Neurospora crassa OR74A: one gene and its partner. The protein of the gene in region 2 interacts with the protein of the main gene of each other region in a pairwise test. Links are inferred from orthologs where the notes say so. Each region holds a gene or a part of one and is shown on either strand. Other genes may lie near its edges.

Evidence for each region. The genes of interacting proteins can lie anywhere in the genome.
Region 1: the proteins of hH1 (region 2) and hH2Az interact in binary tests that used the Saccharomyces cerevisiae proteins (3 or more experiments, as listed by UniProt). The link is inferred for Neurospora crassa OR74A from reciprocal best matches to the Saccharomyces cerevisiae genes HHO1 and HTZ1.

Annotation. Positions count from the first base shown.
Region 1 is NC_026502.1:1,390,024-1,394,235, reverse strand, and holds the start of hH2Az (histone H2A.Z), read left to right. Parts: upstream 1-1,412; 5' UTR 1,413-2,531; coding exon 2,532-2,642; intron 2,643-3,133; coding exon 3,134-3,265; intron 3,266-3,374; coding exon 3,375-3,563; 3' UTR 3,564-4,212. UniProt on the Saccharomyces cerevisiae protein: Variant histone H2A which can replace H2A in some nucleosomes. Nucleosomes wrap and compact DNA into chromatin, limiting DNA accessibility to the cellular machineries which require DNA as a template.
Region 2 is NC_026507.1:545,801-549,484, reverse strand, and holds hH1 (histone H1), read left to right. Parts: upstream 1-1,318; 5' UTR 1,319-1,513; coding exon 1,514-1,636; intron 1,637-1,690; coding exon 1,691-1,717; exon of another isoform or gene 1,718-1,888; coding exon of another isoform or gene 1,889-1,897; coding exon 1,898-1,920; intron 1,921-2,085; coding exon 2,086-2,216; intron 2,217-2,283; coding exon 2,284-2,690; 3' UTR 2,691-3,184; downstream 3,185-3,684.

The DNA.
Region 1 (4,212 bases), on a different chromosome or scaffold from region 2:
TCACTTCGCTCTGAGCAGGGGTGACACCCACCAGTCCTCGATTCCACTGCGCATTTTCTCTTCTATCCTATCTATTATGTCACATGCTTCACTCCACCCGCAGCGGTTTTTCGGTTACAGGGGTGGAATGGAGCCTAGGGCTGTCTGCTAGGCATCGCGCGGAAGCTTCACCCTTCACGCCTATTATACCACGGTATACCACGGAGTCCCGAGTGCCGATGGCTTCCATATGACTATCTGACGAATCAGTTCTATTCAGTTCACTCACTTTGTCTTGAATCGTCATCGCCTCAATCCCTTCGGTTTTTTCTTATTCTGTTGGGTTGTTGCTGCTTTCAACCCGCCCAGCGCGGGCATTAACATGGGCTCACAGCCAGATCGAGGCGAGTGTTCTGCCTCATGACAAGCAACGGTCACAGAGGTTGGTGAGAGCAGGCACGTTGCCATAAGTTCCAGGGATTACGAGTACGATTTGATGATCATCTTGGAGGATGAACACCTACATGTAAGAAGATATAAAGTGCTCTTCCTCGCTGCCTGAGAACAAAGTCTTTTTTTCTTTCCTCGAAGTAGACCTATGCACACCACCTTACTTACCATGCTACCTCTATCCATCATCTTTACCTACTGAGTTTCCCGCTGGAGTAGCGTACACTATATACGACAGTCGGATAGTACATTTCATCATGAGCACATATTACAGCGGCGGTGCTGGCAACACCGGTAGCGGCAATGGCTCAAATGGCGCGGCGGTCGGCCCCACATCGGGAGCCGGGGATCTACCCGCACCGGCCCAAGCTCCGAAGTGGGTCTTGCCATGGTTTCTTTTTATCTTTTTCCCAATCCTAGAATCCCGTCGTACGTCGGCATCCCTTTGGTAGTTGGCTGTTGAGCTACAAACATAATCCAAAGGCTTCCATATTACAGGCGGAATGGCAAAAGTAGTTATCTAATGCATCTTGTGTCACCAGAAGAAGAGAGTACGGCTCCATGATGAACAGATACATCCACGACACTACCACCCAAGTATCGGATCGGGTTTCGGGGCATCAGGACCCGATCAGCAACGACCGTCATAGGCTGGAGGTATTGCAGAGAGTGGAAAGACGGAGATGTGAGGCTGAGAGGTTGGCGAGGATTGCGAGAGGGAATTGAAGAGTGGTGAAGAAGGCACACAATTACTGTGTGCATCTTTGCACGATTTACGTTGTTTGAAGCGTTCATGTTGGGAGCTTACATAGTTCGTTGTGAATTGAACCTCAGTCACCACTGAAAACAGACAGCTCGGTCTGCTCAAGCGCAGACAGCTGGCAGACACTGCGCCAGTTGAAATGTCGTAACGTGAAAGCTTGGCACGGCTGCGACGAGTTTTTGGAGTAAGGTCACGGACCACAACAACCAGCGGCAGATTGGCAAAGGCTCACCCAAGGCTCCGAATCACACTATCTGAGCAACATTTCAAGACACTCTGCAACACCACGCCAGCCTCGGAAAAGCGTGCAAATCTGCTGTGAAGATGCTCAGGCCTTCATTGCCAAAGACTCTGACGGCTTTTGGCCCGCCTTAACCAGCTGGGTGGCCGGCCCGGACAGTGCCCGTCGCGGATCTCTGCATGGCTTCAAACCAGAAAGGTGCTCTCAACGTCGGGCAACAGTGAGGTATGCGACTCCCCTTGCATCACATGGACTTGTCCTGGGAGGCCTTTTCTTGGGCCGTTCATTGCGGAGATGTCGGCAAGGTTCTCTGCAAGACCGTGTCAGCCACGGCCCTTGCGAGGCTGAGTTGAGGTCTGGCTATCTGTCTCGAGATGGACCTCACTGGGTCGTCATGGCTGGCTCGAGGCCTTGCTGGCTGGGCCTTTGCCTGGAGCTTCATGATATTGCCAAGCCTCGGAGCTCCCTTCGAATTGGTCAAGTGGTCTGCTTGGCTCGCCGTACCCAAGGTTACCCCAAGGTACCTACCTACCTACCTACACTAACCTACCTACCCTCCCTCTGCGGAGGAGGAAAAAAAAAAAAAAAAAAAAAAAAAAAAAAAATCAGCAACAGCGACAAATCAGCACACACGGCAAGCAAAGCACCCACGGGAGCTGGCTGTTAGCTGACTGAGCTCGAGCTTCCATCCCTTCGCTTAGCTTGGACGTCGGCACCTTCCCTCCTGTACGGACGCATGTCTCAGGCGCGGTTGCGCTCAAACACGGCGGGCAATCACCTGGAAGGACACAACATCAAAGGGCCCATCAGTGGCATGCATCTTCGGCCCTTCTGAATTTTCGAGCGTCTCCTGGCGCCAACTTCAACACCAAACCTCGTCGCGATCATCCTTCCGGCCAAAACACCACTTTTCCATCCGCCAACCCCGCTTCATCCACTTCCACCAGTTCCACGCAAATCCCGCGCCGTTGCCCCGTCAATATCAACATCCAGCATCGTCACGACCACCGGTTTTATTCTCGACACTACGTCCATCCGCCCATCCCGCGCACAACCATCCCACCCCGTTCAATCCCTTCAAACAAACAAACAAACACAATGGCTGGCGGAAAGGGCAAGTCGTCTGGCGGCAAGAGCTCGGGTGGAAAGACCTCGGGCGTCGAAGGTCCCAAGAAGCAGCAGAGCCATTCTGCTCGCGCTGGTCTTCAGGTACGTTTTTATAGTTGACGAGCTTCATGGCTCTGTCCGCTTTCAATTCCTGCTCCGATCTGCACCATCGACGTCGTCTCATCAACCAACTTTTTTTTTGCTCGCATCCGCCATCCCTGTCGTCAGATGTCGATGGAATCACGCCGATACACCACAACGCGTCCACCGAGCCCCCTACATTTCCGGACAACCCCATAGTGCCAACCTACGAAGAACGCGAACTCGCTGCCTCACACGTCGGTCGCACACAACCCCGCCGCTGGGTAAAAGAAAAAAACCCCCATTGCGCCCCGTACGCGATACTATTTCGGCTTCATATGGACGCGTTGTTCTGTGCATCCTTCTCTCGCCCTGGCCCCGCACCCGGACCTTGTTCCGGTCCCTAACTTTGGATTTCTCGCTCTGACAACGAGGCGGAGCTGCGGCGTGCATTTCCGTCCTCTGGAGTTTGCCGTGTGTCTGATGCGCCATGCTGACTTGAATCTAATTAGTTCCCTTGCGGTCGTGTCAAGCGTTTCCTGAAGCAGAACACCCAAAACAAGATGCGCGTTGGCGCCAAGGCTGCCGTCTATGTTACTGCCGTGCTGGAATATTTGACTGCTGAAGTCCTCGAACTTGCGGGTGTAAGTCATTCATACCCCATCCGCTCGGCCATATTGCTTGGCGACGAGGAGGCTCCCATTTCCAAGTTTTACCTGCTTTATGGCTAACTCAATGATTTCCGTTGTATAGAACGCTGCCAAGGACCTGAAGGTCAAGCGTATTACTCCCCGCCATCTTCAGCTTGCCATCCGTGGAGATGAGGAGCTTGATACCCTCATCCGCGCCACTATCGCCTTCGGTGGTGTCCTCCCCCACATTAACCGCGCCCTTCTGCTCAAGGTAGAGCAGAAGAAGAAGGCCAAGGCTCAGGAGGCTTAAGTCCACAACTGCACCGAAAAACTCGACGTCGCACACGTTTCGCACACTGTCTTGCATCTCTCTAGCCCCGCTCCGGGCTGACGGGCAGGACAGCAATCGGCTTGTTCAAGGGATGTCACGGGGTGATGCCGGGGGGGTTGGGGATTGTCTTCGCTAATCCAACACTAACGCCGCTGTATTGTTGGGTATTTTCTTCCTATTATTTGTTGTTGGGATACGCACACGGGCTTGGGGCCCACCGAACCATGGCTTGAAAAAGCCGAGCACTCCCGGTGTCTGCGACGGCAACAAGCGCAGCGCATAGACGACGGCGAACTTCCCTTGCGACACTTCCAGCAGAGTGGTGCGTTCGGAACACACACGAAAAGCGAAGCGTTCTGTATCATCCAGACGTGGAAGCCGCTTGGGTGGCGATGAGCAGGGAGACCATTCACTGTATAATGTCATCTTGGAGTGCACCACACACTGGGAACGGCGAGCAATCTCCCCTCGTCACGGCGCGGCGTGCGACAGCAGCTCTTTTACGATATCTGTAACAACATGAATCTTCTTTATCGTTTTTTTTATAGTACGACTCGGCCATGAGGGCTTAGCGAGGAAAACATCAGGACACGTTAAATGAACGTGTCGGTTGGTACTGGTTGCAGGT
Region 2 (3,684 bases):
CCCTTTTTTCGTCGAGTGTGATGGTGTAGTGCCGGCCATGTGGTGTCTGGTGAAATGAGGAGAAAGAGTGCGCCAGCGCCAGGCTGCGAGGTGTCGCAAGCTGGGGGGTGAATCCGTCCGCTTGTGTAATAGGTAAGACGGACTGTTCTCTGTTTCTATTTGCAAGGTCAGTAGCAGTCTAAGCGACTCGGAGTCGACTTTTTAAAAGCAGGTCCGCATCTGCTATGTATCATGATCCATTGGGATCTGTTGTTGATAAATAAGCAATCGGGCAGCCATCCGGGGCTTGAGTGAAACAATGGTGAGTAACAAATTGCTGTCGAGTCGTCGGAAGCATGAGGTAGTGTAGCCATGCAATGATTCATCCTGTTGGTTGACGTTGCTTTCTTGTTGAAGAAGAGAGATAAATAGATAAATAGAAGATGATGGGATGGGCGAGATACCGACTGAATCTGAGAGATGGGATGCGGGATGGATGGATTGATGCCCTGCGGCTTCGATTGTGCCAACCCAGCCAGCCAGCCAGCCATGCCGACCGACCGACCGATATGCGACATGCCATGCCACCTCACACACACAGGCACACTGATAACCTGCGAGTCGACGAGGAGAGGTGACGGGCGGCAGAACATGCTTCTTTTGGGGCCAGTGAATGATGCCGTGTCCCACCTTGGATCATCCAATCTGTCCGGACCAGACTCCATCTGGAATGGACATCCATCGGCATCCGCACTCCCCTGGACCCCAATCGGTTTCTAAAAAGAGGAGAAACGGAAGAGGAAAAGGGAAAGGGAAAAAAAAAAAGAAGAACAAGTGGGATCGATGGGACATGGGACAGCACCACTGCATCTCCAGCCGAGTCCATGGAAACGGGAAGACAAGGGGAGGGGGGGGGAGAGGGAGAGGGAGGAGGGGGAAGGGGAAGGAGAAGGGGATGGGGATGGCGACCGAGAGGATAGGTACCTACTGTAGGGACGGGAAATCTCATCGACAACCACACAACGAAGCATCGATGCTCTCGAGGTCTCTTCCCCTTCCTTCATGAGACAAGCGAAAAGGAAAAGGTCCGGAGCCCCAGCTTCCACATCGTGTTGACATGGAACGAGGGAACAGGAATCGGGGCCACTGGCCGGCTTCTTTCGTTCTTTCAGCGTGTGTTAGTGGGGTGCACGGGCCACATATCCCCGGGAAATGGGCTGGGGGTAGCGGCTTCCAGGAGGTCACAGAGGCCCCCCCCCCCAGGTCGCAGGGGGAGACGGGAGGTCCGTCGGGGCAGGGGCAGGGAAGAATCAGCGAAATCACTCGGTCGCGCCAGGAGACCCCGCCTCCGTATATAAACACCCAATCTTCCCCCCTCGAGCGCGACTGAGCCCACCCATCCTCCTCTCGTCCTTTGTTTCCCAGTCCACGATCCAACCTCAACTGAACCTTTTGCACGCCCCTTTCATCCAGTTGTATCTTCAGCAAGATATCCTCAGCCTCCAGCCCTAAAACCACAACCACATCCATCACCATGCCTCCCAAGAAGACCGAGACCAAGGCCGCCGATGCCTCTGCCGCCGCCGCTCCTGCTCCCGCCGCTGCTCCCACCTCTGCTCCCAAGACCAAGAGCCCCAGCACCCATGCCTCTTACCTTGTAAGCTTTACTTAATCCCCAAGAGAAACGCATCTTTTGCTAACATTCAAACAGGACATGATCACGGACGCTATTGTTGCGGTATTTAAACCCCCTCATTATCTTTGTTGTGGCGTGTTTTGGTTGTGGGCGCTTCTCTGGTCGGTGAGCAAAATGAGACAATTGCTCTCATGATGCACGCAACCAAGAGTCACCCACACCACTCACCACCCTTTTACTGTCCCTCAGTCGTGCTGATTCCTTCTTTTTGTCATGCTACAGCTCAAGGACCGCGCTGGATCTAGGTATGTGCCATTTTTCTGCTTACTTTTCTCATTTTTTCACCAGGGCTTTGCCAAGCCACACCGCAAACCTTGCGGGCCCTTCCTACGGTCGCACCGATGACCACTTTCATTCTTATTTCCATGACGCGATGAAGGATCACAACATGTTGCTAACGCACACCACAGCCGTCAAGCTCTCAAGAAGTATGTCCGTGCCAACAACACGCTCGGCAACGTCACCGACAACATGTTCGACTCGCTCTTCAACAAGGCCTTGAAGAACGGTGTCGACAAGGGTGTCTTTGAGCAGCCCAAGGGTATGTCACCACCCACATGACGCATCATCTCCTTGTATTACTCTTTGCATGCTCACACACGATATAGGTCCTTCCGGTGGCACCAAGCTTGCCAAGAAGGTCGCTAAGCCTGCTCCCAAGAAGGCTGCTCCCAAGAAGGAGACCAAGGAGAAGAAGCCCGCTGCCGCTAAGAAGGAGGGTGCCGCCAAGAAGGAGACCAAGGAGAAGAAGGCTCCTGCTGCCAAGAAGGCGGCTGCCCCCAAGAAGGCTGCTGCTCCCAAGAAGGAGGTCAAGGAGAAGAAGGCGGCTGCCCCCAAGAAGAAGGCCGCTGCTCCTGCCGTTGCCGACAAGGAGACCGTCCTCACCAAGACCAAGTCTGGCCGTGTCGCCAAGAGCACCGCTAAGCCTGCTGCCGCCAAGAAGGCCGCTGCTCCCAAGAAGGCTGCCGCCAGCAAGAAGGCCGAGAAGGCCGAGCCCGCTGCCGAGAAGGCATAAACTCGTTCCTTTGGGATGATGTTTTTGTCTCTTTTTTTGCGCCTCGGTCTCTTCTCATGATGTCTTTAGTCATTTTTTCACCACCACTTGCGATGTGACGGGCTTACTCGAAAGGCGTTTGGGGAATCATATTGCTTGGGAACACTTATCAACATAAGGGGGGGTTTTCATTGGTCTACAAGTCAACGCGTTTTGCTCTTTTTCACAACATCGCCACAGCGCGCGCGGGGGGTAGCTTCTTGTTTCTGGCTTTCATGTATCTTGGATTCACACATCACTCATGGGGATTGAGGAGGTTTGGATCGTTTGTGCTGAAACGCAACGGAGGGTAGGTTTGGGCTACAACCTATGGATGATTGGGAAATGGGAAACGGGCGACCGGCGGCTTCGAGGGTGTCTCAAGAAGCGAAGGACATACACCAAAAAGCCTTATCTTGGATACTGCATTGCATATATAATCCGTCTTGGAACGATACCACTTTTTCTTCTTCAAATACCCTGAGCAAGCGCTTTGCCCTTTTAGTTTGACATGGCTACCTGACGATTTCGCAGTGTAGTTCTGAAAAAGCCGAGAATTTGGTTTGATGAATACGAAGTTTGGAGCGAAGGACCTTGAAGCGATGATCTGGCGGTCTGGTAGTGATGCTGAGTCCAGAGGCGAGAAGGCGGCTTCAATCGCTTCATTGTATCTGAAATATATCACGAGGGATACCCTATTGCTACGACGAACGAAATTCGCAAACACTTTTTTTTTTTTTTGATCATATTGCAACAAATTATCTAAGTTTTGTGGGGTGCGGTGAAAAAGGATTGAAAAGCAAGAAGCGAACTAAGAGTTGGCTGGGACGAGCACAACAACGGGGATCCGGCCGGTGGGCGGGAACGCGACTATGGTTAGGTTGTGGGCGGCTCGCTCCTCGCTCGCTCCCCTGTTCCAGGTTTGTTTACAAATTTGATGCCCCGACTTTTTTTTTGCCGGCAAAACACCCAAAAC